4 linked regions of the Lonchura striata genome follow. The protein of the gene in region 1 interacts with the protein of each later gene in a biochemical or structural test. Links are inferred from orthologs where the notes say so. Each region holds a gene or a part of one and is shown on either strand. Other genes may lie near its edges. The genes, in order: LRRK1, PDCD4, CDC42EP3 and ODF2.

Region 1 (7,248 bases):
TGCCTTGCTCTGGCTGCTCCCTAAACCCCTTGAGACACATCCAGCACCAGTGTGGCTCTGCTGAATGTGTTCCCAGCCCAGTTTTATTTCTCTCATCTGCAATGTAGATACAGAGCAAGAACATTCCATTGTCTTTTAACTCTCTTCCCATCTGATGTGTGAGAAATTCCTATGGGCTCCCTACACAGGCCAAGCCAAACTCCTTGAATTTTCCACTCACTGACAGCATCACTCAGAAGCTTTCAGACTCCAGAGAAGGAAAGGCTGAAGATACAGAGGCATTACTGTGAGTGACACAATCAATGGAGACAAAAGGAAGAGTGGGATGAGATTTGGGGAGGGGAAAAAGCGGGAAATTAGCTTGAATATGTGGGTAAATTATTGCCAGAGGAAATTAGAGGCTCTATCATAATAAAGGAAAAAGTTAATTTAGGGTGTTTTCAAACATTGTGCTAAAAATGAGGTAAGAAAGGTCTGGATAAGAGCTGGGCTGTGAGGCATAAAAGGGAGCAGGCTGGCTAAGAAGTGGAAAGGTGCTGAAAACAGGTAACGCTGTTTTTTAACTGTGTTAAAAGCCAGAAAACAATAGTGTTGGTACGTTCTAGCTCTCTACCTATGCCTGCAACTGGACGCAGAGTGATGGTGGCCTGAACACAGGGAAAAGCACCGGTAACACCCATCTGTGCCATCCAAAGGAACCCCCAGGCTCCCGCAGCCGTTCTGTGCGCGCACATCCACCCCCGGGTGACCAGCAGTGACCCATCGCTGGGTACCGAGCAGGCTAAAAACATCCTCTGTGTTTAATTTATAGAATGGCTGCGAACAGCAAAGCAAAAGGCACGCGGAAATATTGGGTTTTTTTTCCCTTAGTTGATCCGACGAGTGGGGTAAACGGAGCAATCCCTGGCTTGTCAGGCTCCTGGAGAGGAACGGGTCAGCCTGGGGAAGGGCCGGCTCCTTCCGAAGCGAGGGGGCAACCTCGCTCTGCTCTTCCAGCGAGCACCGAGCTCGCCGCGGTCGGGGAAGGAGCAACTTTCAAAGAGCGCCGCGGTAAGGCCGGGCCCTGCGGGACTGCGGGAGCGCTCTTCCCCAGCCACCGCCACTCCCACGCTGGCATTGCCCACACAGCTCAACCCTCGGAGCCCGAGGGCTGCCCGGGGGCGGGCGGGCGTGTGGGTCGGCTCGGGGGAAGGAGCTCCATCCTGCCGCGGGCCAGCCCTGCCCTCGGGGCAGCGAGGGGCCGTGCCGGGGACTCGCCCTTGGCCGCGGGGCCGGAGGAGGAGCCGCTGTCCCGCTGCCTTTGCCGCCGGGCTCCCTCCGCTCCCGGGCCGCGGAGCGAGCGGGGCGCGGGCGGCGAGGAGGAGGCGGCGGCAGCGCCCGGAGCGCCGGCCCGGGGCGCGGAGGTACCGTGGCTTTGCTGCCGCTTCTCGGGCACCTGCCCCGCTGCCGGGGCAGTCGGAGTGGGGGGCTGCCGGGGCTTTGCAGGTGGAAATGAGGGGGAAAGCGAGCGGGAGTTTGTTTTTGAAGAAAATGAAAGTTCAGAGAGAAGCTCGCGGGAGCGGCGCGGCCGCCCCGCCCGGCGGGACGCGCTGTGAGGGGACGCCTCAGCCCGCTGGGAAGCGGCTGGAAAGGCTTGAGAGACCCCCCAAAACGGGGTGTAGCGCCTGGTGACCCCCCAGCCGGCCGGGCTGTGCGAGAAGGGGATGGTTTTGTTCTCGCTGCTCAGCCGGGACGAGGGACGCGGTCCCTGGGCGGGCAGGGGGTCCCTGGGCTGGCACCGCGGCCCCAGGCTCGCCGTGGGCACCGGGCGGGAGAGCCCCAGCGCCTTCCACCTGGGCCTCTCGGGCCCCAGTGGGACTGCCAGAAACAACAGGTGGTTTGGGTAAAGCACTGAAGTTTTATCAGGGGTTTTTATCAATTAGCAAGCCATTTTCGGCTAACCGCGATGTTTCTGGCAGCCTGTTTTTAGGCACAATGCACAGGGTCAGACAGGGCGGGATGGTGAAGGGGAGGGGAGTGGGTGGTTCAGGTGTGTGCAGTAGGAGGTGTCAGGGCTGGGAATGTGTGAAATGGGATGTAAATCCCATTTACACCTGTTCAGGTGTATTCTGCATGGCCCCTCTCCTTCTGAACGAGACTCTGCAGAGCACATAGACTCTCTAAATCAAATACGTGTGGTGTTTGCACGTTACAGTTGTAACCTTACAGCAAGTGCACCTTGCTTAAGGTAAAGTTCTGTAGGGGTTTTAAAAAAATTTATACAAAAAGGTCCTGAAATACAGAAATCCTCATTACATGGGCGCTGTGTGGCAGTCATATACATGGCTACAGCATTCAGTTACTTGCAGTTAAAGGAACTGATTACCAGAACCACACCACTATTTTTCCTAAAAATTATTTTTCCTTTCACTTTATAAGAGGAAAGTTTCAGCCTGGGGAATAGGCTGAGTAGACAGCAAAAAATCAGGAGTGGAGTGGTTTTCAAGCCTCAGGGGTCCATGCTAGCCCCCATTCAGTGTTTCTTGTACAGTTGCTGTAGGTGCACATGGTTTGTCCCCGTCTCAGAGCAAGGAAGTGCCTCAGAAACCATCATCTGCTGCAGAGCTGGTGGGCCAGAGTGTGCATGGGGAAGTGTTTACTCTCCCTGGAGCTGCTCAGTGCATCAAGGGCACAGGGCAGGCAGCTGCTGGAAGCATCACATCCCCTCCACTGCCAGAGTGAACACCCTGGACAGCTCTGGGGAGGTGTGAGAGCCTTCCTGACACCTCTGCCTGGGCCATCCCACCTGTGGCATGGAGGAATGTGTGGTCCCAGCTCCTCCTGCCAGCGTTGTCAAGGGAAGCTGAGGCCAGGAGAGAAGCACCAGCACCAGTTCCAGGGCAGAATTCAGTCCTTCACCAACACAGTGCAATTCACCACTTTGTGGGCTTGGATCTGGGATTAGGATCACCTCCATCTCAGCCTCCTGCAGCACCCTGTGCCCAGACTAGGGCACAGGGGTGCCAATCTTTTTTGCTGCTGCCAGGCACTGCAAAGTCAAGGTCAGCAGAAGCTGAGTGCACCTAAAATTCAAATATTTGCCTAAAAACAACTGAAACAGGATGTAGTGATTTTTAGTGTTGTTGGCTGAAACCCTGTGTAAGGAGGGAGGAGCAGAAAGCTTCCCGGATAGTAGTGATGGATCAGCATATTTTTATATTCCCCTTGGCCTTTGATCCCAGTTCAGGAAGTCAGCTCTGCTCAGCGAGAGTCAGGGAGGGTCTTGGGCCTTGCTGGCTGGAGTGGGAGGTGGGTTATGAGCTTTGCTGAGCTAGAGCCTCAAATCAGAACTTCATCATCACACACCAGACTTGAGAAGAACCAGTAGGAGTCAGTTGAGGTGCATCATGTCACATCTGAGAGGCGTTTACTGACTGAAACTGAAAGCAGAAAATGAAGGAGCTCTGATGCTGGTTGGACAAACACTGCAAATCCTCCAGGAGCCTGAGCCTCTGTACGAAGAGGTTGAAGGGTGGTTGTGCCACTGTGAAAAGGGAAGGAGTTGGAAGTGCCTCGGGAGACTGAGCTGTGCAATTTTCTGCTGCCTGTTATACCAGGCAGTTCACAAGAAGCCAACCTTTAATAGCTCCTGAGGGCCTGATTTGCCTCCCTGAGTGAAGAAGCCTGATGCTTCCAGGGTGAGAGAGTTCTCAAAAAGGACTGGCAGAGGGGACAAGAGCTGGTGTGTTTCTCTTCACCCTCTTCTCTTTCCTACAGAGGATTATCTCAGTAACCACATCAGTGTTTTTCAGTTTCTCACAGTCTTACAAGAGCTGTGGTTGTCTTTGTGGATGGGAGAGGTTTTGAGGTTGCATTTAGGATTTTTCCAGCTGCACTGCAGGGTTTCAATGGTCTGCCTTTACACCAGCTTGTGGAGAATCTGAAACTGCAGCTGTGACCCCTGTCCACCCCCTTGTCCTCTGCCCAAAGACTGAGCAGCTTTGGTGGTGAAAAATTAGGAACATTATCTTTCTGTAATGCAGAAATTGTTAGTCCCCTCTGTTAATTCATGTTATGCTCTTAACAAAGCTATTATGAAAATAATTATATTTATAGGATAAGAGTATTTCTGCTGTGTGACATTTGGACAACTGTGTTAATAGTAGAGAGGAATAAACATCTCACTATTTCTACAGTGGAATGATTAATTTGTTTTGTTGTTTATTTTTAAACAGAATAAATGATGTTTCTTCAGGATGGTGCTCACTAGCAGCCTCTGCTCCTGCATTCACATGATGGGGATCATCCAGCTTTGACAACACTGCTCAGTCTGAAGTGCTGTGGAAAGTTTGTCTGTGGGGCCTTCACAACTGCCACCCAGAATGTACTGGTGTGTGGGAACGGAGGAATCCACTGTTTGCAGGGAGAGCAACATGGATCCACAGAATGGTAAATAGCAGGATTTGTTTCTTTCCTGTTCAGATTGGGAACAAAAGGTTCTAAGACAACTTGGTAGCCACTGGGCTCTGATGAAGTTTAAAAATGTGAAAGTTTTTTCAGCCCTGATCTTTGAAAATTTACAGTCTGGAATTTTATTTCCAGGGAGAGTGATATTGAACTATGGAGGTGGTAAGAATAGCATTCCCCTGAAGATGGATGTTCTCCAAAGGCCTACGGAATTAGTCAATATATGTATCATGTCTCCCCAGTTCCTAAATATGTTTTACAAGATCTGTGCTTTTTCAGTGTGTGAATGCAAATATGTTCCCAGTCACTGATGCAATGGGCATTCAGGATATGAAAGCTGCTAAAATCAGAGCATCTCTTCTCAGCCTGAACAGATATTAACCTGCTCCAGTTTTACCCTCAGCTCCTATTCAGTGGCTTGCAGTGATTTTATGTTGGGCTAGATTAGAACATTTGTGTTTATGTAATAAAGAAATTCTCCTTTTAGAAGGGACATATGCTTCAGGTTGCTTCCTGTGAATTTTTTTTTTTTTTCCTGAGCAGGCAAATTATTTTTGGATGGTTTCTCTCACTGCAACCCTCAGCTCCCAGGCACTGCTGCCTTTCTCTGAGTCAAACCCCAGTTATGTTTCTGCAGCAAGAAATAGCCTCCTGTTCTTGTGTAACGGTGTTCCCCCCTTGCAGCAAGTGCTTCATTAGGAGGCAGCATCTGCGTTTGAAGTGTGGGAAGAAGGTGTGTTTGACGCTTTGTAGTGAGTAAGCAGGCTCCAGCAGAAGCTAATGTTTTTGCAGCCTTATTTTGGATTTTATCAGCAACTATGAAGCAAAACCTGGTAGTTTATTCAGAGGCCTCCTTGTCTTGTCTGAAGACATTCCTCACCAGCGTCACAGGGAGCTCTGGGAACTCTTTCCTTTCTCCGTACGTATTCTGCTTGTTCTGTGATACTGATTTTTCTGTTTGCTGTTGGCAATTAGGACTGTACCTTTCTGTAACACTTGGTTATTGAATATTTTTTAAATTCTTAAATTCTGTCTTCTGAGTTTCTCTCTGGAAGAAATTATCTCCACTTGAATACTAAGCTATAAACCATGAAAAGAATTTTAATCTGCGCTAACGGTTCACAACTGTTCAGAATTGCTAAATCTTTGTTCTGCAGTAGTGATCTGGCAAGTTTTCTCTCTGTGTAAAGATACAATAAATAAATTATTGTAGGAGTGAATAATGAAGTGGAAAGTGGGATAGTGAAATTTTTTACATTTTGAATTCAGATTTTTTTCAGAGAACTTTATTACACGTTGCTGTTATGTAATTATATTCAGTTAAACTGGTTAGCTGGAAGCATGCAAATCTCTGGTAGACTCTTCTATATGGATATATCTGGGTTATATTAAAATAGTCTACAGTGCTGGAAAACTGGGAAAGGGATCCTTGTAAAGCTTAAGATCCCTGTACAAGGCACCAGTACTGCTTTGGTGGATTTGCTCATTGTAAGGGTTTTGTACATGCTTAAACTCACTGTTTTGGTCCTGCCAAGAATGATTGTCATTAGCTAACTGGTCCACTCCTTAAGTTACTGGTCCTTGTTCTGGCTCAGATCCCATTACAGGGGCTGAAGCAGGAGCACGGTGACTCATTCAGCCTCCTCATGCCAGCCCATTGTTTACACCGGTGAGGAACTGTGGATGCAGCCTCCTGCTCCCATTCAGCAGAAGCTGCTGGGAATGGGAGTGAAATCCCGGATCATTTCTTTCCTACCAATGACCTCGTTAGTGCTCAGAGTTTGGAGTCTTTTTGTTTTTGTCAGGCAGGAGGGACTGGCTTGTGGGGGATTTAACCAGAGCACGGTGGTGCTGGGGGCTCTGGGGTGGGTCAGCTGGATCAGCATGGCTGGAGGCCCCTTCCAGCAATTCCCTGTGCACCTTCATTATCTGAAGCCTTAGAATTTTTCAGGAGTTTTTTTTTCCCTGGCAGCTATAAAGCCCTGGCCAATTGTATGTGGAGAAAAATCACACTCAGCATCCTTCTTAGTTAGAAAATGCAACACAGGGTGCAGGGGCTCACCTTGCTCAGGTGTCTGCTCTGCTGTTCCTCCTGGTTGCCAGTGATTTCCCTGTATCCCAGCAGAGGATGCCAGCTTTCCCTGCATCCCAGCAGGATGCCAGCTTTCCCATGGCATGGGTGAGCTGTGTGTCAGACCTGGACACTCTTTGCCCTCTGGGGATGGTGCTGGGCTTGACCTGGTGGTGCTGACCAAGCCCTCAGAGACTTGTCACCAGAACACAGGATGAGTGAGGCTCCCTTGTGGGTGTACTCAGCATCTCCCTTGCCTCCTCAAACCCTGCTTCCCCCTCTCCTGGATTTGTTCATCTTGTCCTAATTAAAAGAAACTGAGCAGGGATATGGGGGTGGCTGCAGTCTCTCATGAAGTACAGGGTCTGGGTTTTTTAAAAAACTTGGTTAAAGAGCTCTGCATAATACAGAGGAGGTGACATGATGGGAATTTTGTAGGAAGTACAATGGAAGCCCAAAGGCATCACTTTATGAATGTGTAGAAAAGCATAAAGATTCTTTGCCTTTCTATGGGCTGATTGATTTCTTTGAATCTTACAAAATTTCATAGCTAGGATTTAATTCTTGTGTGGTTTTCTAGGAGCTCCTCAGAGGTGTAGAACAATCATTGTCTTCTGAAACATAAGGGTACTTCTGTTTAAAAAGCTTATCTCCTTCTTACTGGGAATTTTATTCAAAGTCCCAGGACATTCATATGCCACTGGTGTGTGTCTCAGAGGTGGGATTGGATT
Region 2 (6,893 bases), on another chromosome or scaffold:
GGAAGGCCGGGGAGAGCGGGGAGGGCGAGACCATCGCGAGTGGGTCCGGGGGGTGCGAGCGGGAAGGAGCCATTGGTGCGGGGGGCGGGGGTGAGGGCGCCTGAGCCGTTCCTCCATGTCCCTGTGGGACACGGCGCGGGGCGGCCACACCGGGACCGGGACCGGGACAGTGCCACCGGGACCGGGACAGCGCCACCGGGACCGGGACAGTGCCACCTGCACCGGGACAGCGCCGCCCGAGCCCTTCCAGGGGCAGGGCCGGGCGAAGCGGCGGCCCCGGGATGCGGGAGAACGGCTCCCCACATCCCGCCTGGGGGTGCTGGGTGCTGGCACCGGGGCAGCTGTGCCTGGTTCCTCCTCCACGTGCTGGCCTACTAATTTAATTAAAAGCCAATTTTTCTTCCTTTTCCGAAGCATCAAAGCCATCAGAAAAAAGAATCTGTTAACTCTTATCGGCGTGTGTTTCTCTCTGCTGACAAGGGGAGCTCGGGCCTTTGGCTGCCTGCCCGCCCAAGCCCTTCCCTCAGCGCGGGGCTGGGTGCGGGGCAGGATGAGGGGCAGGATAAGGGGCTGGGTGCGGGGCAGGATGAGGGGCTGGGTGCGGGGCAGGATGAGGGGCTGGGTGCGGGGCAGGATGAGGGGCTGGGTGCAGGGCTCGGTGCGGGGCTGGGTGCGGGGCTGGGTGCGGGGCAGGATGAGGGGCAGGGTGCGGGGCTCGGTGCGGGGCTGGGTGCGGGGCAGGGTGCGGGGCGGATGAGGGGCAGGGTGCGGGGCTGGGTGCGGGGCTCGGTGCGGGGCAGGGTGAGGGGCAGGGTGCGGGGCAGGGTGAGGGGCTGGGTGCGGGGCTCGGTGCGGGGCAGGGTGCGGGGCAGGGTGCGGGGCGGATGAGGGGCAGGGTGCGGGGCTGGGTGCGGGGCTCGGTGCGGGGCAGGGTGCGGGGCTGGGTGCGGGGCTCGGTGCGGGGCAGGGTGCGGGGCAGGGTGCGGGGCTCGGTGCGGGGCTCGGTGCGGGGCAGGGTGAGGGGCAGGGTGCGGGGCAGGGTGCGGGGCTCGGTGCGGGGCAGGGTGAGGGGCAGGGTGCGGGGCAGGGTGCGGGGCTGGGTGCGGGGCTCGGTGCGGGGCAGGGTGCGGGGCGGATGAGGGGCTGGGTGCGGGGCAGGGTGCGGGGCAGGGTGCGGGGCTGGGTGCGGGGCTCGGTGAGGGGCAGGGTGCGGGGCAGGGTGCCGGGCAGCACCGCAGCTGGCCGGCGGCATTCCTGCTGCTCGGCCCCCGGCGGGCAGAGCTGCCGCCTTCCCCCCCTTGGGAAAGCTTCACACACGTTTGAGGATCAGGTTTGGGATTGACAGCCAGGCTGTGCATGTCCTTCCAAACTTCCCACCTTGTTTTAGTTTACTTTTATACCAACTGCCTGAGGGCACACACCTAATTAGAGATGACAGTCTCCTCTAATTGTGCTTTGCCTCCGTTCAGGTCTCTCCTCAAAACTCAGCTCACCCTTTGTTTTCTCCCTAATTTGTCACTCCAGAGAGCCCAAGCAATGAGGGAAGCAAATACAGATCACTTCTGCTTTGGTATTTGTGCACTGCAGGATTTTCCAGCTGCCAGTGAGAGAAACCTCCCCAGTTAACCAGATTATGACTTGACTTTTGTAGTGTTATTAAATATTTTTCCTGTATAATTCCACTCCTGATTGGTACTCTTCTGACTGAAATAAAAGCCAAAGTTCCCTTGTGTAAGAGCCTCTGAATTAATTTACTGGCCTGGCTCTGCATGAATCATCCAAAATAGATTTAAGATCTAAAACAACAACTATCTGTTAAAAGAATGTGCAGCACGATTGCCATGTTTTCATGATACTTCCCCCACCAGCTAAATGACAGAAAGAAAACCTTTCTTGCTCATGAAGGCATTAAATTGCAGACTTTTTCATGTCGGAACAGTCCAACATGCTCACACAAGATTTTTTTCACATGCAACCTAGAGGCAGCTTTAAAAGATGTTGTTTCCCCATCAATCAAAAAATAGTTCCTAGTTTGCTCTCTGCACCTCTGCTGACTCGTGCGTACCAAGCAAACTACCACAGTGTCATCACCAGGATTTGGAAAAGAAATTCTACCTATTAACATTCACCATGGAATTTAGCTTTCCCTGCAAGGCAGAGTGGGGCTTTAAAGAGATTTTTCAGTAAAGAAAGAGGTGACAGAGAGACTGAAACAGTAGCCAGAACCTGCACAAGAGAAGATGGCACAAAATATGGCATCATGCCAATTACACCTTTTAAAGCGCCATGGAAAATTGCTAAAGGATTTTCTACTAAAGTTTAGGGCTGATTCACTTCCAAGAAGCCTAAAAGCTGGATCAGAGGTCAAAAGAAGAGGAAAACCCCCAAACCATCCAGCACACCTCCAGACAACAAAATTGCGTGTTTTTTTCTTTCTTCTGCTGTATATCTCTATTAGCACGTGGGTTATCAATCACTGAAAATCTCATCTGATTTCTGAAGCACTATGACCTGAAAAAGAGCTTATGTGCATGAAAGATAACTTGTATTTTTCCATTGTATCAACCAGCCTACTAAAAGACATCACCTCTTTTTCCCTTTTTAACCTCAAACCTGCCTGCAACAACAAGAAAACAGCTGATCACATGCTAACCTCTGAGCTGTAGAGACCTACTCGCTCCCTCCCCTAGACATATTAATAGCAAACACACGATCAAAAATCCTCATGAAAACAAAACAGCAAAATTCCTCCTGACATTTAAAAAAAAAAAAAACACCACAGTCAAAATCTTTGGAGCGTTTGTGGTGGATTTGCAGCTCGAGGCAGCCAGCGCGGGGTGTCCAGCCGGAGCCGCCGCCCGACACCTGCACCCCGGGTTACCTGTGCCGCCCGGCCCCTCTGCGCTTCCACCCCTACAGCCGCCGATCACCTGGAGCGAAATGCTTGCACGGAGGCGAGCAGGTCACTTTCGAGCAGCCTTCCTTCCTTCGAGTTGTTTTCAAACTCTGCCCTCCCTTTCTCAGAGGCAGGCCAAGCCCTCCCGTAACACCCAGGGGAGGGATCCATTGGCTGGAGCTCCCCAAAGCGCGGGGAGCAGCCCTTCCCCCGCACGCTGGGCACCGCGTGGCTCCGCTGCCCGGGCCGGGCTGGCCTTTGCTGCTCACCGAGCGCTGGCTGAGCTGCTTCCGACCTCCCGCACCAGAGAGAGCAGCGAAAGCCGAGAGAAGTTGCCTTGGGTTAGAAACACTACCGAACGTTTATTTCCCTTGCACTCCCCACCGCGGATTTTTCAAAGTTTTACTTTCTGTTTTAAATATTTTCGATAGGCAGCATCTGTGCTCCTGACACCTCAGCAGAGCTGTTTGGTTACAGTCGAGTCTGTTACTGTGTCACTTGGAATACGAATTTCCACACATAATGCAGACAGCAAAAATGTATCATATCTGTTAAATCAATCTGCTCTGTTCAGTTGCCTGTCTCTTGGCCTTCTGCTTTCTTTCCCTTCAGACTACTTTTATTTTTGCATCTTCTGCTAAGGTGCCTTCACGAAGTGAACTGCAAACACAGCAAACCCATTCTTTTTCATCAGGCAGCGTCAGCTCCAGGTTGAAAGGGTACAAAAACACGCCTTCACTTTTTTAAATGCTCAGTAATGCGAGCTGCTTTCGAACATCCTCGCGCAGCTCGATGCGGGCGCTGGGAGCGGGGCTGTGCTGCAGACCTGGCTGCGCAGCGCCCGTCGGGGCTGGGCGCCCTGCGGAGCTGGGGAGGGACCGCGCTGCGTTTGCCCAGGCGCGGAGACCGAAGGGTCACCCGCTGCCGTGGCTTTGCATAAACACTTCCCCGAAACACTGCCTGCCTGTCTCTCTCGTGGCTTCCCAGGACTTGCCCCTCACATTGCACAAGCAGCCTGCCCTGTTCGGGGCTCTGAGTACACCCTCCTGGCAGCGGCAGCAGTGGGATCGCCCCGGTAAACTGTTCCAGGCATGTCTCCTCCGTGCTGCCGCTGTCATCTGTTCATTCTTGCCTTAACAAAGGGCAATCACGCATCTGAAAAGACGCTTTACTGGAAAGGGCTGAACTTGTGAAATGTGCAGAAAAATGGAAGAACTTGATTTGAGTTCCAGACGGTGAGTTCATTTAAAAGCTAACAACCAGAAACACAAAATGCCACCTCTACCTCAGAATAATTGTCCCTTTTTACTGGTTTACTGTGGGAGAAAATCTTAGGAAGCCATTTATTAGAACAAGGTGTGTTATTGCCTTGTAATTATTATTTGACAAGCTGCGGTCCTGTGATTAATAAATCATGTGCCTGCTTTTTGTGTGTATATAATCACATGCTCTATATTTACATGGACAGGGGCTTACAGAACATTTACCTTTGTGCTTAGGACTGGCAGGAACTTCTGTGCTATCAGGTCTCCTATCAAAGGCGCCATGTGATTTATATCCTTATCATGACCTTGCCAAGTTCCATCCTCAAAGCAGTTCAATATTTTGCATGGACAACTGCAGTGGGGAAGACATTCTAGAACCACATTGTCAAATGGTTAGTAATGGTCTCCTAATCAAAATGTCTGATGGCTCCTTTTGATCATTTATTCTGTTACCAGCACTGGCCCTTAGCACCATCAGCTCTCCTCTCTTCCCTTCCCGGGAGTATTTATGCAGAGAAAACCTCATGCTCACAGTATTTGCTTTGCAAAATGAAGTGAGATAGCCTCTGCTCAAGCTCACCCCAGCCTTCAGTGCAGCCTGGGCTGCACCTCTCCTGCTGCCTTCCAGGACTGCATTTCTCACTTCCTATTTCCACTGTTGGCAAGTCAGTTACTTGGTGATCAGAGTGTGAGCTGCCAGGGAGCTTGTAGGAAAGGCTTTGGTCATTTGTACCTATGACCAGCACTTTCTGCTATCTACCTTTCTCTGTGTAATATTTCAAGCCTCCTTTTTCCTGAGGTTACTTCATATTTTCTGTCATCAGCAAATTCACCAGTTCTCCAGTAACACTAGTGCCAAGCCCATTTACAAAAGCACTTTGCCAGATCTACAGTGATGCTTAACACTCTCCTGGTAACTACTCTCCAGCCTGACAGCCCTGCTGTTCTTATGCCACATCTCTTTACAGCTTTAAGGGGGGGTTATACCTTGTGCAAAATCACCTCTCCCTCTTCTTAAGAACTTTCCATGTGGCACCATATGAAATGTGCAATGTAAGTCCAGAGAGGTGAGATCCATCCCATTTCCTTCACTAAGCAAATGGCTTGCAGCTTGCCTTTCCCAAGAAAGATAAATGGGTTTGATAAAACCATTTCATCTCATGCCATTTACCTCCCTCTCTTTTGTTAGCCTTTCCTTCACCATTTTTTTTCTGAATCTGTCCTTATGCTATTAAGCTGAAACCTTCATGCCTCTTCTTGCCCAAATCAGTTCACTTCTGTACAGGTTTGCTGTGCTGCTGTCCCTGGCTGAGGGACCTGTTAAAGACATCGGGCCAGTTCTTCCAGAGCTCTGGCATGTGGATTAGCCCGTTCCTCTGCCTTCAGCGCAGGAAGCAGCCCTGAGATTTGCTTTTATCCCGGCCACAAACATTTCCATACCCCCATCCTATTATCCCTCACATCTGCAGCCACATGATTAACATCCTCAGCAAAAGTTAAAGCAAAGAATGAGTTTGGCTTTTGCACATACCCAATGCATATTAACCTCTATGCCCTATAATTTCTTCTTCCTCCTGTTTTCTTCAGCCATATGCAATGAGGAAAAACTTTTCCCCATTTTTTATTAATGTCCTTTAAAAGACAGAACTCTGACTCCCTTTGGAGACATAGCTTTTATACCAAATCGATTCTTTTGCTTTTTAAAATTATTCCTTGCAATGACTGTTCATTCTAAGTAGCATTTCTGAGGTATAAATTCATTCAACTGCAACATCTGTCTCCAAGCTTTTGCCCTTGCCTGGGTTTTATCTCCAGTGAAGTTAACTAGAGTTTTATCCCCTATCCTGGAGTCTCATCGCAGTGAAATTTAGACATGCAAATCCCCAGGCTCCTAAGGAAAGCTGACTATATGGATTAGTTCCTGTTACTTATTTAAATATGCCCCTTGGAACTCGGAAGCTGTATCAGTCACGCCTGCCTTCATAAATGGGACATAATATTTTGAACAGGGTACTGTTTATGACTAAAAAACCTGCAGCATCTCAAGTGTCCCAGAAAAAATTTGACCAGAGTGGATTTTCATTATAGTTCTAGGGTAAAAATAAGTAGTTCAGTGGTGGAACAGAAGTAGCTGGTCTTTTAGATTTTTTTTTTTAACCTTATAAATATAACTGTGCCAGTCACCTTTTGTAGTAAACAGTAACAAGGTGTTTTACCTCACTGGGGCAAGAGACTCAGCCAAGGTGTTTTCCTGACCACTGAGGTCTAAATGTCTGCATGCTTTTCTTCACCCAATTTTAGGTCTGCTTTTTTCTCCACCTCTCCTCTCCCTCCTTCTGACTTTCCTCCCAGAAAAAAGGACACTGTCCCTAAGTCTTAGCACTGGCCTGAAGACAGAAAAGTGTCAGCATACAAGGACTAGGTATTGTCAGTTCTGCTTCTGCAGGGCATAAAGGTTTGGCACCCAGTGCCTTCCACAGCCCAGCCCGCTGTGCTGGCCAAAGAGCACAACACCTCCTGATGTCCTGGCAGGTGTCTGAAGTGTGTCCAGGCTCCTTGGCAGGCTGGCCCACCTGGTCTGGAGGGAGCCAGTGCTGCTGCACCTGCACTGGAGCCAGAGCTAATGGGAGAACAGCAGCCTGGCTGCAGTGCTGATACAAGGAAAGGCACCTCTGCTCCTCAGTAGTGTCCCCCAGGGCGTGGAGGTTGAATTGTTCCCTGTTGAAGAAGGT
Region 3 (7,415 bases), on another chromosome or scaffold:
TTGTTTGCATGCCTTCTCACCAAACACAGTGGAATTTTTGTCCTCATCTCCCTGAGGTGTTCTGCAAGGAAAAGTGCTCTAAGCTTAGAGGACCAAGAGAGCAGATGAAAAGAGAAAGGAAAAGCTCTTTGAGGTAATCAGTGAACTACCACCTTCTTTCACTGGCTGAATCACCACATCATTCCATGCACTCCTCCAGGCATTACTGAGCAGCCTGGGAAGACTGGGAAGGGAGGGAAGATTAGTCCATACAGCCATCCTTCCACTTGGCATTTTACAATGCAGTAGGAAAATGCAGACTAGGAAAGCCAAACCTTGTGTAGTATTGGAATAGCAAAAACAGTTGAAAGTCAAACATCCATCACTAATGTGTACAAAGTCAGGCAAAACCCTTGCTCAGACTGTGGGTCAATTAGTCCTTTTCCTCCCTTGGTCCAAAGTGTTATCGCCACAGAGGATAATGAGTTAATGCCAAGTATGGTACTCTGGAAATGAAAGGTCATGGAACAAGAGTTAAAAAAAAGGGTTCCAAATAAGATAAGTCTTTCAACACTGTTTTCTAGGTATTCTGTTAAATATCCCACTGGGAGGCTTCTCTTCATCAAACTAAGCCACATTTCTTTGGACTCTCTTCTCTGAGTGATTTCAAATATATAAAGAATTTAGATGAAAAACAGATCTGTATTTTTTCATTGTTTAAAACATGGTAGTAAATGTTCACTTCTCAGAAGAGTGATAGTGATTTTATTTATAGAAATTCCCAAAGTGACAGTTACAGAAATAATCTGTGGAGAACAAGTTGCAGAAGACTTTTTCCCTCAGTCAGATCATATCCTTGCTTTCCAATGCTGTGTAATAATCTCCATGAAAAGAAGCTTTATTATATAGCTCTGATCATTGTTTTCACTTCTAAGAGCAAACACTGAACATGAAGTTGGGGAAAATAATAGCCTCCTAATAGGATTGTTATAAAGAAGATGGTCTCACTGTTCCCCGGGGTCATTGAGAGAAGAAATTAGACTGATTTGCAGCCAAGAAAGATGTAAGTTGTATATCCGTTGGGAAAGCAGAAAAAATACAGATAGTGAAAGAATGAGACTATGAATCTACCTCAAGAGTTTTTGGATTTTTCTGCCAATGGATGAATTCAGGAACAGAGGATAAATGAAGATGTGCAGGATATCTCGGGTATGTGGTTGACCAATTTGCCCATATTGCCACATGGATCTGGGGGAGACTGTGAAAAGTGAGATTATATTCATTATGCAGTAGCCTGTTTTAGGGAACTTTAAAGGGGCTGCATCTGCCCTGGAAAAGAGCATGCCAATAAGTGCTTGATCCTCCATCAGGGCACAATGTGGAGTAGATGACATCAAAGTCCCTTCAGTTCTGACCCTATAGTTCTATAGTAGTCTATAGTACAGTCACTCTCTGAAGTAAGTTATCAGAAATTCTTGGATATGTGTGCATTGGTAATCCACATGAGTTACTAAAACACAGCCAAATATTTAGATCATTCCTAGATTGCTAAATGCTATTTAGCAATAGTGTTTCAGAATGCAATCTTCAGGTACCCTGGAAAATGGAATTTTTGAAAAAGGTTCTAGTCACATTTTTTGTTTGCATTGGTAGTATGAAGTTTTTTACATTAAATGATTTAACTTATTACCTTCCAGAGGTTATGTTAATCATGTGTACTTTTAAACAATTTAAACAATTTCAAAGCAGAACAGACTGCTTTTAAACAATTTCAAAGCAGAACAGACTGCTTAACAATCCTTACTAAACTCATGGTCTAGCTCTAGCTGAAAGAAGAGCAAAAGCACCACACACTTAAATTGGCATATATAAATAAGCCAAATATTATGACGAATAGAAGCTCTCCTGATTCAGCAAAGCACTTAAACAGATACTTACTTTAAACTCCAGTTTTAATTCCTAATAAAAGAGGTTTGAAATTAAAAGGAGAGAAAGCATAAATCTGTGGTAAAAAGAGACTTAACAATAGAGGATCGCATCACTCCTTTCTGGTGATCAATTAAAAATCTGCACATTTGTAATAATTCTGATACTGTAACTGTTAAGAAGTTGAGGAAATTAATAACTGAAGTTCTCCTAGGAACCTTGGTTCTGTCTCTGGCCCCTACATGTGTATGCTTCAGTGTTTCCCATAACATGCTTAGCTGGGAAAGAGATCAATACTTTTTCTGCAGAGAAACTAGAACTTTGCTCTAAACCATTACTGCCTTAAAACACAGATGCTATTGATGTGTACACATATCACTTTCCTATTAATATGTCCTTTGCTCCTACTTAAGAGAATAAACCAGTATCATTATGGCCTATGATGGCACACTTGGGCACAGTGCAGAGGGCTGCAGCCTAGCTTTGATGACCTTGGGATGGCTAACATGGGACTTAAAAATGTAAGAGCAATGATACAAGATACCAGAAGTGGCATGGCCGTGTCTTCAGGCCAAATTGGCTTTTAGGGCTGGAGTAAAGCAGTGAAAACATGCATGGGATAAAGACAAGGAAAAAAGAAGGAAGGAAGAATGAAAAGCTGGAACAGGTGCCACAGATCAGAGGTGCAAGAGGTCACAACATGAACGGCACAAGAGAGAAACTTGAGTAAAACCAACTGTGGCACAGTATCGTGGCCCACAGGTTTGAAACCCAGCTCTGGAGAGAAAAACCAAAGAAATATTCAGAAGAGGCAGGGATGTATAACATGACTGGAACAAGCTTTTGAGTGAGCTGCTGTCAAGTGTTGCCAGCCTGCTATTATAGCAAATGAATCCATGTGTTTCTTTTGTCCTCAGAAACAGTTGTTTGAATTTTCATCAGCTTCAGCACATGGCACCACACACATGCATGCCCACACATGTCCTTTCTGAACTAAAAGGAAGTAAGAGCAATGTCATCCCTCCAGTGTCCCTTTTAAAAAGTTTTAAACCACTTAAATTAGGTTCCTAAACTAGAAAGCAGTCTCAAGTGTAGAGTTGGTAGAAGAAAGGTAGCATGCAGTGCATTCACACAAGATAAATAATTGAATAATTGCTAGGTTGGAAATGTATCCAAAGAAGCCAGGAATTATTACAGAATTCTTTTTTCTTTTGCTTACACAAACTTTATAATAGCTGTTTTCTCTGACTGTCCTTTTACATAAACTGGGAACAGCCTCTGGGCTGCTCTCAAATTTACTTTGGCTTCTCCAATAGCGCTTAAGAATTACTGGAATTGTGCAGTCCCTGGCCATGCCTCCAGTACTGTCAGAGGCCAGGGCACAGAGCCATCCCCATCCCCATCCCCAGTGAAGCTGCTGCCTCCACACCTGTTGTGTCACTGCCTGCTCCCACCTGGGAGGCCGTGCACTGGGCAGAACTGTTTGCACAAAGCCCTTGCTCCCATGGAACAAGCAACTTCATCCTTGGCTATTCAATCACATATGGAGGGCTTGTGGGGTTTTTTATCATCATGATATGTAAATCAAATGTTAAAAAGATTTTCAGAGAATTGAAAATATTTCAGCAATGAGAAACTGTGAAAAATGTGAAAGGACACTATTTTCCCTGTATGTTTCATTTCAGATAGCAGGATTGGGCCATGCATGGCATGATGCCTCTCGCCCAGAGACATCACCGTGTATGCGTAAGGGCAGAGCAGTCTGCAGGCACACTGAATATTACAGTCTCAACACCTTGAAAGGAACATGTTCTCTAAATTTGAGTACTGCAATTAAAAAAAAAAAAAAAAGAAAAAAAAAAAAAAGAAAATAGAATTACCCTGCGGTAAAGTGCTTTAGGTTCAGAGTGCTCCAATGAAAAGACAGCAAATGGGAAAATTCTCTCATCCAGATGTGGGTATGTAAACATATTTTAAACTAAGTATACACGTTTACATACAATGCATCCACTGTTTATGCTGATTTTAAAACACTATATGTAATGAAAATTATGCAAATATTTAGAAAAATACCTTAGCCTGGGTAAGGTATATACCACACTTAATATTTCAGTAAGGGCACATGCAGTGCTTGTATGGCAGTGCCAAAAGTAACATTTTGAAAAATGACCTTTTGGTAAAACTGTCAAGCACAGTGTTGAGTCCAGGTACCCGCCAACAGAAACCTTTGGGAGGATGTCACTGCGAGAGGTGGACCAGTGCCGGGGTCTCTATCTGGATTAACCAGAGAACTTGTAAAAAAATTAACATCAGCGCAGTATTTATGGGCTTCCTAGTCAGTAATCTGCTGGACTCCCAACAGCTATTTTAAGCTCTTTCCCGTTTTGGGCAAGGCAGTTTCACTTGTATAAAAGAGACGGGCAGGTGCCCTTAAGTCTGTCATTAAAGGGCTCCGGGCCGTCGCTGAATGGTCCGCGCCCCGCGCAGCAACTCAGCGCCGCTGCCCCGCTCCGGCCCGCCGCTGGGCGGGAGGAGCCGCCCCTGCGCCTCGCCGGCTCTCGCAGTATTTGCCGGTTACCTGCAAATCGCAGACCGCCGAGTCCTGAAAGCCCGAGCGCTCCTTAACAACGCGTAAATAATGGAGGACAGGCGGGATGAATGAGCACAGCGGGCGGAGAGAGGGCTGAGCCTCACCCCTGACGGATCGGGGCGCCGAAGAGGTGAGGGGAGAGAGGGTTTGGGTGAAAAATTATTAGCTTTAAAGCACACCTCGGAGCTGACCGTGCTCGGGGGACAGGGGGTTGCTCACCCGAGGGCTTCACCGGGACCCTATCAGGGTGTACAGAGGGCCTCCCGGTCTGCCCGCAACGCCCCCACCTCCGCAAAATAGCTAAAAAAAAAAAAAAAAAAAAAGGTGGGGAGGAGCCCTTTATTGTTATTGTGGTTGTTCCCGGCCTCCCTGCCCGCTTCCCGCCGGTGCTCCGCGGTGCCAGGATTTCTCTGCAGCCCGCCCTCCCCGTCCGCAGCGCCGCCGGCAGCGCCGCCTCCCCGCGGCAGCCGCTCGCCGCCCGCGGCCCCGCGCCGCGCCCCCGGCACCCGGAGCGCCGCCGCCCGCGCACTGACAGAAGCTCACAGGTGCCGCCGCGCTCGGCCCGAGTCGCGGAGGGGCGGCCCCGCTGCCCTCTCGGCTCCGCACCGGCGGGAGGGAGATAGCTCGGGAGGGAGGAGCGGCGCGGGAACAGCGGCAGCGCCGTAAGTGGGGGAGCGGGGAGTGGGGCGCGGAGCGGGAGGGCCGCCACCGCCGGGCTGCGGCACTGCCCCTGCTGACCTGCGGAGCGGCGGCGGGGCCGCAGCGCGGCCGCTCGGGGGGCTGGGAGGGAGGGTACGCATTTCAGGATAGCCATAGAGAGTACCCATGAATGATTTTGTTTGGCTGCTCGGGAGGTTTCCGAGCTATCGCTTAGAACGACTCGGGGTGTAATACAGTAATACATTACTGAAATTCCGAGCTGCAGTTCGTCTCTGTATCGGTTTAAATTTCCATCACAGTGTGTTTTGGCATACCTGATTTTATGCCCTTGCCTTGGAGGCAGAAGGCATACCCAGCCTACATCCCCCCCGAAACAGGCTGCGCTCCTTTTTGTGCGGTGTGTCGCCTTGCGCCGCGCCTTCCTGCGTGGGGCTAAGAATAACCGTGCACTGAGTGCGCTGCTCCCTGCCTGGCTGGGGCTGGACTGGGGGCAAGTCAGTACCCGGTGTGATGCTGGCTGTCGAGCTAAGAGTTCAAGTCGGGAACTCAAATTTGAGAATTTGAGTTGGGCTGCTGATGAAGAAATGCGGGCTGTAGATAATAGAAAGGACTTGATTTATTTTCAGTTGAAATTTATAAGAGACCAAAATAGAGTAAGCAATTAATTTAGGACTTGCGTCACTGTAGATTGTTGCTATGTTTTAAACATAGAAGGAAGAAGGCTTATTATTAAATATTTAATGTAACAAGTACGATCCTGAACTCTTAATTTCCTGTGAAAAATATCTGGGAGGAGAGGCAAGGACTCGTGCATAGACCATTAATTTCAGTTATATATAGGTTGTAAGGATGTAACATTGTTCAGGAAAATGTAGATGAAAAAAATCAGAAGGTTTAAGGTGTGAAAATCTTAAGCTGAAAAATTCTTTAGATACACACTACTAGAAATCTTGTAATCCATGTTCCACGGCTCAGATGTTTAGAGGAATGACAGAGATACCAAAAAAGGCATCATGATAGCGCAATTCTAGAACCAGAATTTTCTCGTTCCCTACAAAAAAGGAAAGCTCATTTCTGGAAGCAAGAAGTGACAGATGTGGCATCTTGGCAGCTGGCTAAACATAAAAGCAAGTATCAGCAAGTGATTACTGTTGCAAGGATTTATTTTTAAAGTGTCTTGTACTGAAAGGCTTCAGCGTTTTTTAGCATTAGCAGTAAGATGTACTTACAATCTGCAGTATGTTACAAATAGTCTTTCAGCAGAAACATTCGGAAAAGCAAGAGAAAACTCCTATGTTCGAGGCACTCCATGCTTTGAACATTTGTTTTCCATTAGAGCATGCAAAAGAAAGGAACTGAGCAGGTTCTTTGGTCGGTACGATAGTACTGAAGGGAATGATTTTTCCTGGCCTCAGCATAAGCCAGCTGTATCTGGGAAGGAAACAATAGGGTTTATCTTCTCCTTAGATGAAAGGTAATCACAGTTACTGTTGTTTAGGGAGCACCTTGTACATCCACAGAAGTAAAAACCAGGCTGCAAAACTGCCTCTGCCCCTCTTCTATGATTCGTAAAGCCAACCTGAATCACCAGGAGGTGGCCTGGATGAATTTTAGAAAAGAGATATCACCTAAGAGGCAGCCCAGAGCCACTCTTTCCCTGAGGCAGCGGCAGCGTGGGTCTGCACCATCCCTATTTGACTGCTGTGGTTAGATGTCACATTGACTTGAAAGAGGCATCTAAAACTGTTCCAAACCACTTGTATCAGCTTTACTGTAACCAACAAAAGCCATGGTTCATTGCAGAACATGCTTTGCTCTCAGCTTTTCATAATTAGGGAGGTTGCTTTGTTTTATAGTCTTCTGACCTAGATGGCTTCTTCTAGAAGAAATTCTGGTCCTCTGCCCAAGTTTTAACAAATAGTTTGGGGAAGAAAAAGGAACTTGCATTTAAAATAATTTCTTTCTGTCATGCAGAATTTGTTGTCAGGTTCTCCTTTACTTCTTGCCTGTGAGACTGTGTGTGTCTCAGGCACTCAGCAATGCTCTCTGACCAATTCTTCCTCCTCTTCCTCACCCTAGTTAACAGAATTGCTGTGTCACCTGATGCCTGTTTGGCCTTTCATAATGATGTGTAAACCACTACAGGCTTTCACTTTCCTGCATGCAAATTTTACTTTTTGGAAACAAAATAGTAAAACAATCACTTTTTCTTTTTTTTTTTCCCTCTTATGATCACATCAGAGTAAATATATTTTCTCAA
Region 4 (7,866 bases), on another chromosome or scaffold:
CATGGGCGGGAACCAGCCAAACCTCGCTGACCTGGTAAGGGTTTCATCCCTGTGGTTATTGTCAGGTGGATCACAAATTATCCTGCTGCTCCTCTCTATAAAATGGTTAATACAAGTACAGGCAGAGAAGTTGAGCTATATGAAATACATTGTCTTTTGTGCAGTAATACAGTTCCCTCATGGTGGGGACTTGCCTAATAACTGCACATAGATCCTGATCCTTCCGTACTCTTTCCTCATGGAAAAACATATTCTTAATTCCCTTTCTGCCATTCACTCCTCCTTGCTAATCAGAAGGATGGATCATATGGCAGGACAGAAGGTAGAGCCATCCTAGCTTGGCTGTTAGGACACTTGTACCTTAAGCCGTTTTCCACTGCTTTTTCAGTGTTGTTCTGACCTCTCTGCTCTACACAGGCAGTGTACGGGGTACTCCGGGTCATGGAAGGGCTGGAAGCCTTTGATGACATGATGGTTCACACCAAAATTCAACCTTGGTACCAGCGCATGGAAGAAGTCATTGAAAAAACTGGAGTTGCAATCTGATGCCAGCTGCAGCTGCCTCCCTGAAGTACTTGCATGGTGAAAACTTCAGAAGAAATGGCTTTTATTTTTAGAGTTGACTGATTACACCTAATGGACTGACATGTGGGCACAGAGACCACCCTGTTCAGAACATCAAGTCGCTGTGAGAGAGCAGTCCAACTGGGTGTTTGTAGAAGGATGGGGACAGGTAAAAGAAAGGGATTTTGGATGCTGCTGGAAAGGAGATGCTCTGAACTGGAGAATGCAGCAAAAAGGCTTCTTTCAGAGAAGAGATATCTTCAGAGCAGGCTACTGTAAGAGCAGGATGCTCGTGGCTGGTGTTATGGCTGTGTCACATGTGGTAGACCTGACCAGCTTTTGCCTCAGGCTGTCTCCTGCTACTCATCCATGTCAGCTGACATGTTTTCCTGACTGAGACACTGGATACTGGTTTTTAAGTAACAATATTTCCTGCAATAAAATCTTGTAAACCTAGTGCTAAGGGAACGGGAGGAATCTGCAGTTCTGGAGAAGGCACCCTTCCTCTGACAGCAGTGAGGCTGCGCTCAGCAAGGCATCTGCTTCACTCTTCCATGTAAACGGTTCTCTCAGGATTTGATTCTGTATGCTCTGCAAGGATAAAGGCTGGCTTTATTCTGTCCCCTTTGTGAGATCTGAGTTCTTATTTTACCCTTTACACCCAAAGAACATGGCCTACAATGAAATCGCAAATGCAGAGCAGTTATTGGAAAGGCTTGTTTTGCATGAGATACCTCTGGAATATCCCTGAGGATCAGTTTGTTCTTGTTTTAGGAAAAAAAGGATTAAGAGCCATCTGCATGGCCAGGGGATCTCTAGATGTTTCTATCATGCAAGAGTAACAAAGGATTGCTGATTTCGCAGTCAGATTAGGAGCTGTACCTGCAGCTAAGTCTTCCGAGTTGTGCTGGGTAGAATCATAGAATGGTTTGGGTTGGAAAGGACCTTAAAAACCATCTTGCTCCAACCGCTGCCATAGGCCAGGTTGCTCCAAGCCCTGTCCAACCTGACCTTGAACACTTTTAGGGATGGGACAGCCACAGCTTCTCTGGTCAAGCTGTGCCAGTGCCTCCCCATCCTCACAGGAGAAGCCACTGCCCCTTGTCAAAGGCCCTCTCTAGCTGCAGAAACCATATTTTTCATAGCAAGAGACAATGCAGGTTCAAATGTGAGTGATCCTCTGCACAGCCCAAGTATCCTTAACTACCACTCTGCTTAAGTTCTGTTTCCCTGGAAGAACAGGCAGGTTTCAGGGAATCTGATTTGTTGTGATATTTCAGGTGCAGCTGAAGTTGGTCTGTAATACAAGTGCTTGCCCAATGTGTGTTCAGGGAGGTTATAACAATGGTGGTGATAGAGGTTTGGGTTTTTTCTGAATGGAAGACTAATTCCAAATTCAGTTATGATCTGACATTGAAGGGAGAAAGAAAATGTTTACAGTACAAATGGCTGCATGGCTGCTCTGACTTGTATTTCTTTAAACTGTTCTGTACTGAAACTTGTGTTCCACAGTATCATCAGGCAATGTTCTTTTAAAGAATTATATTGAGCATGCATAAACAGGAGGTTGAAAAACCCTTGATGATAATTTCAGCATCCACCTCAACCTGAGAGGGAGGAAGATTTTCATGTTAAATGAGGATCTGAAGCACCAAGGGCTCAGTGATTCCACTTCTTGCTGTGCTGTGCTACGTGAATCAGTCATCTCAAGATGAATATCCATAACACTAACATGCCAATAATATTACATTAAATAAAGATTGTTTCAGGATTTTGTATCACCTTTTATGGAGTCTTAGATTTTTAAGGGATTGGAATGGACCTTAGAGATCATTTACTCCCAACCTCTGCTGCCATGGGCAGGGACACCTTCCACTAGACAGGTGCTCAAGGCCTTATCCAACCTGACTTTGAGCACTGCCAGGACTGGGGCATCCGCAGCCTGCCTGGGCAACTTGTGTCAGTGTCTCACCACCCTCACAGGGAAGAATTTCTCCCTAATATCTAACATAAATTACCCCTTTCAATTTTCACCTCGTCCTATCACTACAGTTCCTGATGAGGAGTCCCTCTCTGGCTTTCCTGTAGCCCCCTTCAGATCCTGGAAGGTGCTCTGAGGTTTCCACACAACCTTTCTCTTTTCTAGGCTGAACAGCCCCAACTCTCTCAGCCTGTTTTCACAGGGAAGGTGCTGCAATCCCCTATCAACTTTGTGATCTCCAACATTTCCATGTCCTTGTGTTGGGGACGGCCAGAACTGCACACAAATCTGGTTAACAGCTTACAGTAAAAGTGGCTCTGTACACAATTCTGGTGTCACCTTTAAGACAGCAAAACGGTAAAAAGACAGTAAGACTCAAAGGCAACGCCAAGAAAACTGACTTATTAATCCAGCTATTTAATCCTCTTTTCAGACCTCCCCATTTCTGTGCGGATGCGCGGCCACTCCTGAGGGGGCCGCGATGCGGTGTGCGTGGCCGGGGGTGGCCGGGGGTGCCCGGTGCCCGGGGATGCTCAGTGGTGCCCGGTGCTCGGTTGTGCCCAGTGCCCGGGGGTGGCCGGGGGTGCCTGGGGGTGCTCGGCGCCCGGTGGTGCCCGGTGCCCGGGGGTGCCCGGTGGCCGGGGGTGCCTGGGGGTGCTCAGCGCCCGGTGGTGCCCGGTGCCCGGGGGTGCCCGGTGGCCGGGGGTGCCTGGGGGTGCTCGGCGCCCGGTGGTGCCCGGTGCCCGGGGGTGCCCGGTGCCCGGGGGTGCCTGGGGGTGCTCAGCACCCGGTGGTGCCCGGTGCCCGGGGGTGCCCGGTGCCCGGGGGTGGCCAGGGGTGCTCGGTGGCCGGGGGTTCCCGGGGGTGCCCAGGGGTGCCCGGTGCCCGGGGGTGCCCGGTGCCCGGGGGTGCCCGGTGCCCGGGGTGCCCGGGGATGCTCGGTGGTGCCCGGTGCCCGGTGTGCCCGGTGGCCGGGGTGCCCGGGGGTGCCCGGTGCCCGGTGCCCGGGGGTGCCCAGTGGCGGGGGTGCCCGGTGCTCGGGGTGCCCGGTGCCCGGGGATGCTCGGTGGTCTGTGGTGCCCGGGGTGCCCGGTGCCCGGTGGTGCCCGGTGCCCGGGGTGCCCGGTGCCCGGGGTGCCCGGTGGTGCCCGGTGCCCGGGGTGCCCGGTGCCCGGTGCCCGGTGCCCGGTGCCCGGTGCCCGGTGCCCGGTGCCCGGTGGCGGGGGCGGCGGCTCGGCCGCTCGCGCCGGGCTGCGGGCGGTTACCGGGGGCGGTTACCGCCGCTCAGGGCCGTTCGAATCACCCAATGGTGGAGCCGCGGGCGGCGCGCCGGCGACGGCGGCCGGGACCCTGCGGCCGCTCCTCCTGTCCCTGGTGCGGACAAGGTGCCCAGAGCTCGGCCCACGGCCGCCCTTGCGCCGCTCGCCGTGTTGACAGGGATCTGAAGGCGCTGCGAGCCCCGCGCTCCTGGTGAGAGCGCCGCGACTGCGGGGGGGGCTCGCCCTGTGGGGTGTCCCCTCATCGTGGGGGCGTTCCCTTGCCTTGGAGGGTGTCTCCTCGCCGTTTGTGTGTCCCCTCGCCGTGTGGGCGAGGTCGGATCGCGGGGGATTTTTCCTTCCCGGCCTTGCGGGCTCCTTCGTGCGGGCAGGCCGGCGGCCGCGGGGCTCGGGTAACGGCGCGGGGCGGGCGGGCGTTGGAGCGGCCGGGCCCCGCGGGCTGAAGGCCCGCCCGGCTCGGGGCTGCCAGCAACCACCGACCGCGTCTCCGCCAGCCTGAGGGACCACAGAGTCCCTGGAGAACCTGCAGAGATTGCAGGAGGAATTAACACGTACGAGTGAGCCTCGTTGCTAAGGAGGCACAGTCACGTTTGGTTGTCGCTCGTGGTGATTCAAAGGCGCTGTCGGTGCCTGTCCGCTTCCTGAAGTAAAGGAAGTACTGCTGTGCTCCTTAAAAATCGCAGCTCGAATTTGAAAGTTTGTAAGTGAATAGTGCCATCATGTAATTGTACAAAGCATTTCCACTGTTTAAAACAATTTCCACTGTCAGTAGGAATTATAGTCTGTCCTTCCCTCATCCTGTGCTTTAGAGAGAAAACTAGGGCACACCAACTTTTATTGTTTGCGTTCTTGCACTTGATATGTTTGAGCCTTGGTATTCTCTTAGATCAAAAGGAAGAAGATGTTCAGAAATTGGCATTTTTTCCTCTGAATCATTTTATTATTTCTGTACCAGGTGTATCTCATCTTGCCACGGAGAACGTTCCTCTACGCCCAAGACTGTGTGCAAGAAAGTCAAAGGCTTGAAAGTAGCTGTAAGTAACTTTACCTAGGCTGACAATATCCTTTCTGCCAGAATCAGATTAGTGCTGCCGGTGGCTTTGTGTAAGATTTCCAATTGTGTTATGCCTTTACATCAACTGAGGCTCCAAGATGATGACCTGAACCTTGTGTCTCTAGGCTTTTCTGTGTTGTGTCAGGTTATGGTTATGTGTTTCTGTGGTGATTAAAGAAATGCTGTGATGCAATGGCTTTTAAGGATTTCTGCTTAAAAAAGATGCTCAACATTAAGCACTTATGAAGAAGGATACAGGTTCAGGGTTCTAGGATGGATTGGTCTGATGATTTCCTCATGGTTTTTCTTAACTGTTCAATTAATTCTCCTCTTCTCCCTGCTTCAAATTTCTCTTTGTAATCAGATTTTGTTGGTTATGGGAACCCTTGATTTGCTCAGTTGCTGTATTTGAACTTCAATGATTCTTACAGACACCTGATATTGATCCAGCTGTGTTTGATCTTCAGTAACCAGGTTAAAAGCAGAAAATATTGGAAGCAGAGGAATTATTTGTGTTATTCCTGGCTTTACAGAAGAATAGTGTGAAGTTCAAAATGGCAGATGCTACTGATACAAAGCTCAAATGTTAACCAAGGCTGGCCTCTGTTTCTCTCTGAACACTGAAGGAAATGTTGTTATTTCCAATTTCCTTATTCACAGGTTTCCCTTCATTGTATTTCCCTTTCCCATTTGTGGGAGAACAGCCATGAAGAACCGTTCCTCATCTCCCCCTTTGCACGTCCATGTGGATGAAAACACCCCTGTCCATGTCCATATTAAAAAGGGGCAGAAAACCACACCTGCAAAATGCCAGGTAGGAGTGTGTACCTGGTTGCTTGTAAGGGCTGCAGAGAAGGTGAATGGCCCTAGAAGCATCACAAAGTCTTCCAGGTCTGTTCTACTGTTGTATTAGAGCTGTGAGACTTCATTTCATATTCAGTGGTGAATTTGCAGTGACACATTTGCTATGTTGATTTGTTGAAAGATGATTTTAAATTGCTTTTCATGCTCATGTGAGAAATGTTGCTTCCAACGTGATATCATTTGGTGGATTTTTTCCCTTTTATTTCTTGGGTCTGTGTCTGATAATGTTTTGTATTTGTCTTCATATCTGTTTTTGGAGGAAAGCTTTGAGGAGAGATAGTACTTAGGCATTTCAAGTAGTATCTTGATTGTATTCAAATAAATGTGCATAGAAAAAGAATCTTGATTGAGACCATCTTCTGACGTTAAGGACATTCTCTGTCCACTGAGCTCTGCAGCCAAGAAGATCTCTTCCACTTCCACAGGAGGCACAAGGCAAAACTGAAGCTGAGATTCTAGCTATCCCATACCCTCTTTTTTTGCTGGATATTTATGGAAAGTTGTTCTAAAAAATTGATGGAAGTTGCTATCTCATTCTTCCTTATCTACAGACATCCTGTTCTAAGTCTTCTATTAATTCTGTGTTTGTTGCTAATGGCAGATTTCATAATGGGATGGAATGACAGTGAAAATAATGAGTCCTATGAATTAATCACCAGTAGGGAATGTTTACAGCATCTGATTTTTCTCTGTGGTTTGAATTGTGCAAAAACACTTTAACTCTCCTTGAATTAGAGCAGCTCAAGTTCAATACAAATAAATGTGCATCTTCTAGTTGACTACAGAGTAAGGAAAACACTTCCAGGGCTTTCCAAAATCGATCATGGTATCAAATGATATAGCTACTTTTTTGTGAGGTGAATCTGGGATGAAGAAGGGATCTCCCAGAGATCTGTCAGAACCTACATCCAGCCATCCTCTCAGCTGAATGTGCAATAACCTTTTCTTCTAGCTGGTGTCAGCTTCCTTTGATGGCTGCTACTCATCTCACCTGATGCATCCTGTGAAGCTCTACTGATAGTTCTTTATGAATGATCTTTCATTTAGTTTTGCAGCACTAAAAATTGCAAATGGTTCTTTAAGGGTCTGTAATTTATTTTATTTTCTCTTTCTTTAGCAAAAGCACAAACAGAAATCTAAAGGGGACGGTGTGCGCGCTGTGAGGGTGAAAACTAAGGCCCCTTGGATACCCCCAGGCAAAACAAGTACTCGTGATACCATCTTGAAATGGGAGGTACAGCTGGTTTTGCTCTTTAAAACAAACTTTGAGGCTTAGCCAAGGAGGAAGAGAGCACTTGTGTAGTGAGAGAGTTGGGCAGATCTGAAAGAAGGCTACTGTCCCCTGCCATCTATTTGAAGTGTCTTCTGAAAATCTTTTTCACTTTTTAATGTAGAAAAACTGAAAATTCATAAACAGCCTGTGGCCATGCCTTACTCTTTCTAGAAGCCAGACACGTTTATTTCTATTATTGTAATTTACTGGTGCAATTCAAGATCTCATCTGGAGGCTCAGCAAGAGAATGCTGGTCTCAGTGTCTTCAAAAGCATGGAGTGTTTGTGTAGCATTGCATCATACTTTCTTTCTCATGGTTCAATAGTTTTGCCTGTTGTATTCCTGGCACTTCCTAGATGAGGATTTGAGATTTGATTAGTTTTTCTTCTTTTTCATTGTAGTCTTTCTGCATTCATGACTTGGAAACAGAAGAGCTGTTTGTAAACAATGTTGTTTTTTTTCTTTCCCAGCCTTGCTGCAGTGATGTGACCCAGTGTCTTGTTTTTGGCAATGTTAGAATACTATTTATAATGTTATACTAAAAAAAATATACTCTTTATTCCCTAGCAGGAATCAAGTGAACGGGTGGAAGCTACACCTAATGGTGAGTCTGACAAGATGCAGTCAGTACTGCGCCTCAGTGACCTCTCCACGGACGACGATGGTCCTGCTTGCTGCAAAATCAACAAATATGAAAAGAAGATAGACAGCCTGATGAATATGGTGGGAACACTGAAGAAAGAGGTGAGGAGACAGTGGAAAGACCTGCTGACTGGGGCTTTGTAGCTGATCCTTTGACAAGGGGAGGCTAGAGGCAGGTCTTGGTGCAATGGAAGGCTACTCAGGCTGTTGG

Evidence for each region.
Region 2: the proteins of LRRK1 (region 1) and PDCD4 form a complex in vitro, tested with the Homo sapiens proteins (2 studies listed by BioGRID and IntAct, with this or other methods). The link is inferred for Lonchura striata from reciprocal best matches to the Homo sapiens genes LRRK1 and PDCD4.
Region 3: the proteins of LRRK1 (region 1) and CDC42EP3 form a complex in vitro, tested with the Homo sapiens proteins (2 studies listed by BioGRID and IntAct, with this or other methods). The link is inferred for Lonchura striata from reciprocal best matches to the Homo sapiens genes LRRK1 and CDC42EP3.
Region 4: the proteins of LRRK1 (region 1) and ODF2 form a complex in vitro, tested with the Homo sapiens proteins (2 studies listed by BioGRID and IntAct, with this or other methods). The link is inferred for Lonchura striata from reciprocal best matches to the Homo sapiens genes LRRK1 and ODF2.

Annotation. Positions count from the first base shown.
Region 1 is NC_134613.1:21,622,110-21,629,357, forward strand, and holds the start of LRRK1 (leucine-rich repeat serine/threonine-protein kinase 1), read left to right. Parts: upstream 1-4,239; 5' UTR 4,240-4,361; coding exon 4,362-4,428; intron 4,429-4,565; exon of another isoform or gene 4,566-5,365; intron 5,366-7,248.
Region 2 is NC_134609.1:23,128,223-23,135,115, reverse strand, and holds the start of PDCD4 (programmed cell death protein 4), read right to left. Parts: upstream 3,013-6,893; 5' UTR 2,931-3,012; exon of another isoform or gene 2,882-2,930; intron 1-2,881. UniProt on the Homo sapiens protein: Inhibits translation initiation and cap-dependent translation. May excert its function by hindering the interaction between EIF4A1 and EIF4G. Inhibits the helicase activity of EIF4A. Modulates the activation of JUN kinase.
Region 3 is NC_134605.1:33,453,270-33,460,684, reverse strand, and holds the start of CDC42EP3 (cdc42 effector protein 3), read left to right. Parts: upstream 1-4,414; 5' UTR 4,415-4,625; intron 4,626-4,989; exon of another isoform or gene 4,990-5,157; intron 5,158-7,415.
Region 4 is NC_134624.1:468,315-476,180, reverse strand, and holds the start of ODF2 (outer dense fiber protein 2), read left to right. Parts: upstream 1-4,866; 5' UTR 4,867-5,459; coding exon 5,460-5,690; intron 5,691-6,857; coding exon 6,858-6,974; intron 6,975-7,580; coding exon of another isoform or gene 7,581-7,583; coding exon 7,584-7,757; intron 7,758-7,866. Other genes in the region: PTGES2 (prostaglandin E synthase 2), read left to right, coding at 1-34, 418-546. UniProt on the Homo sapiens protein: Seems to be a major component of sperm tail outer dense fibers (ODF).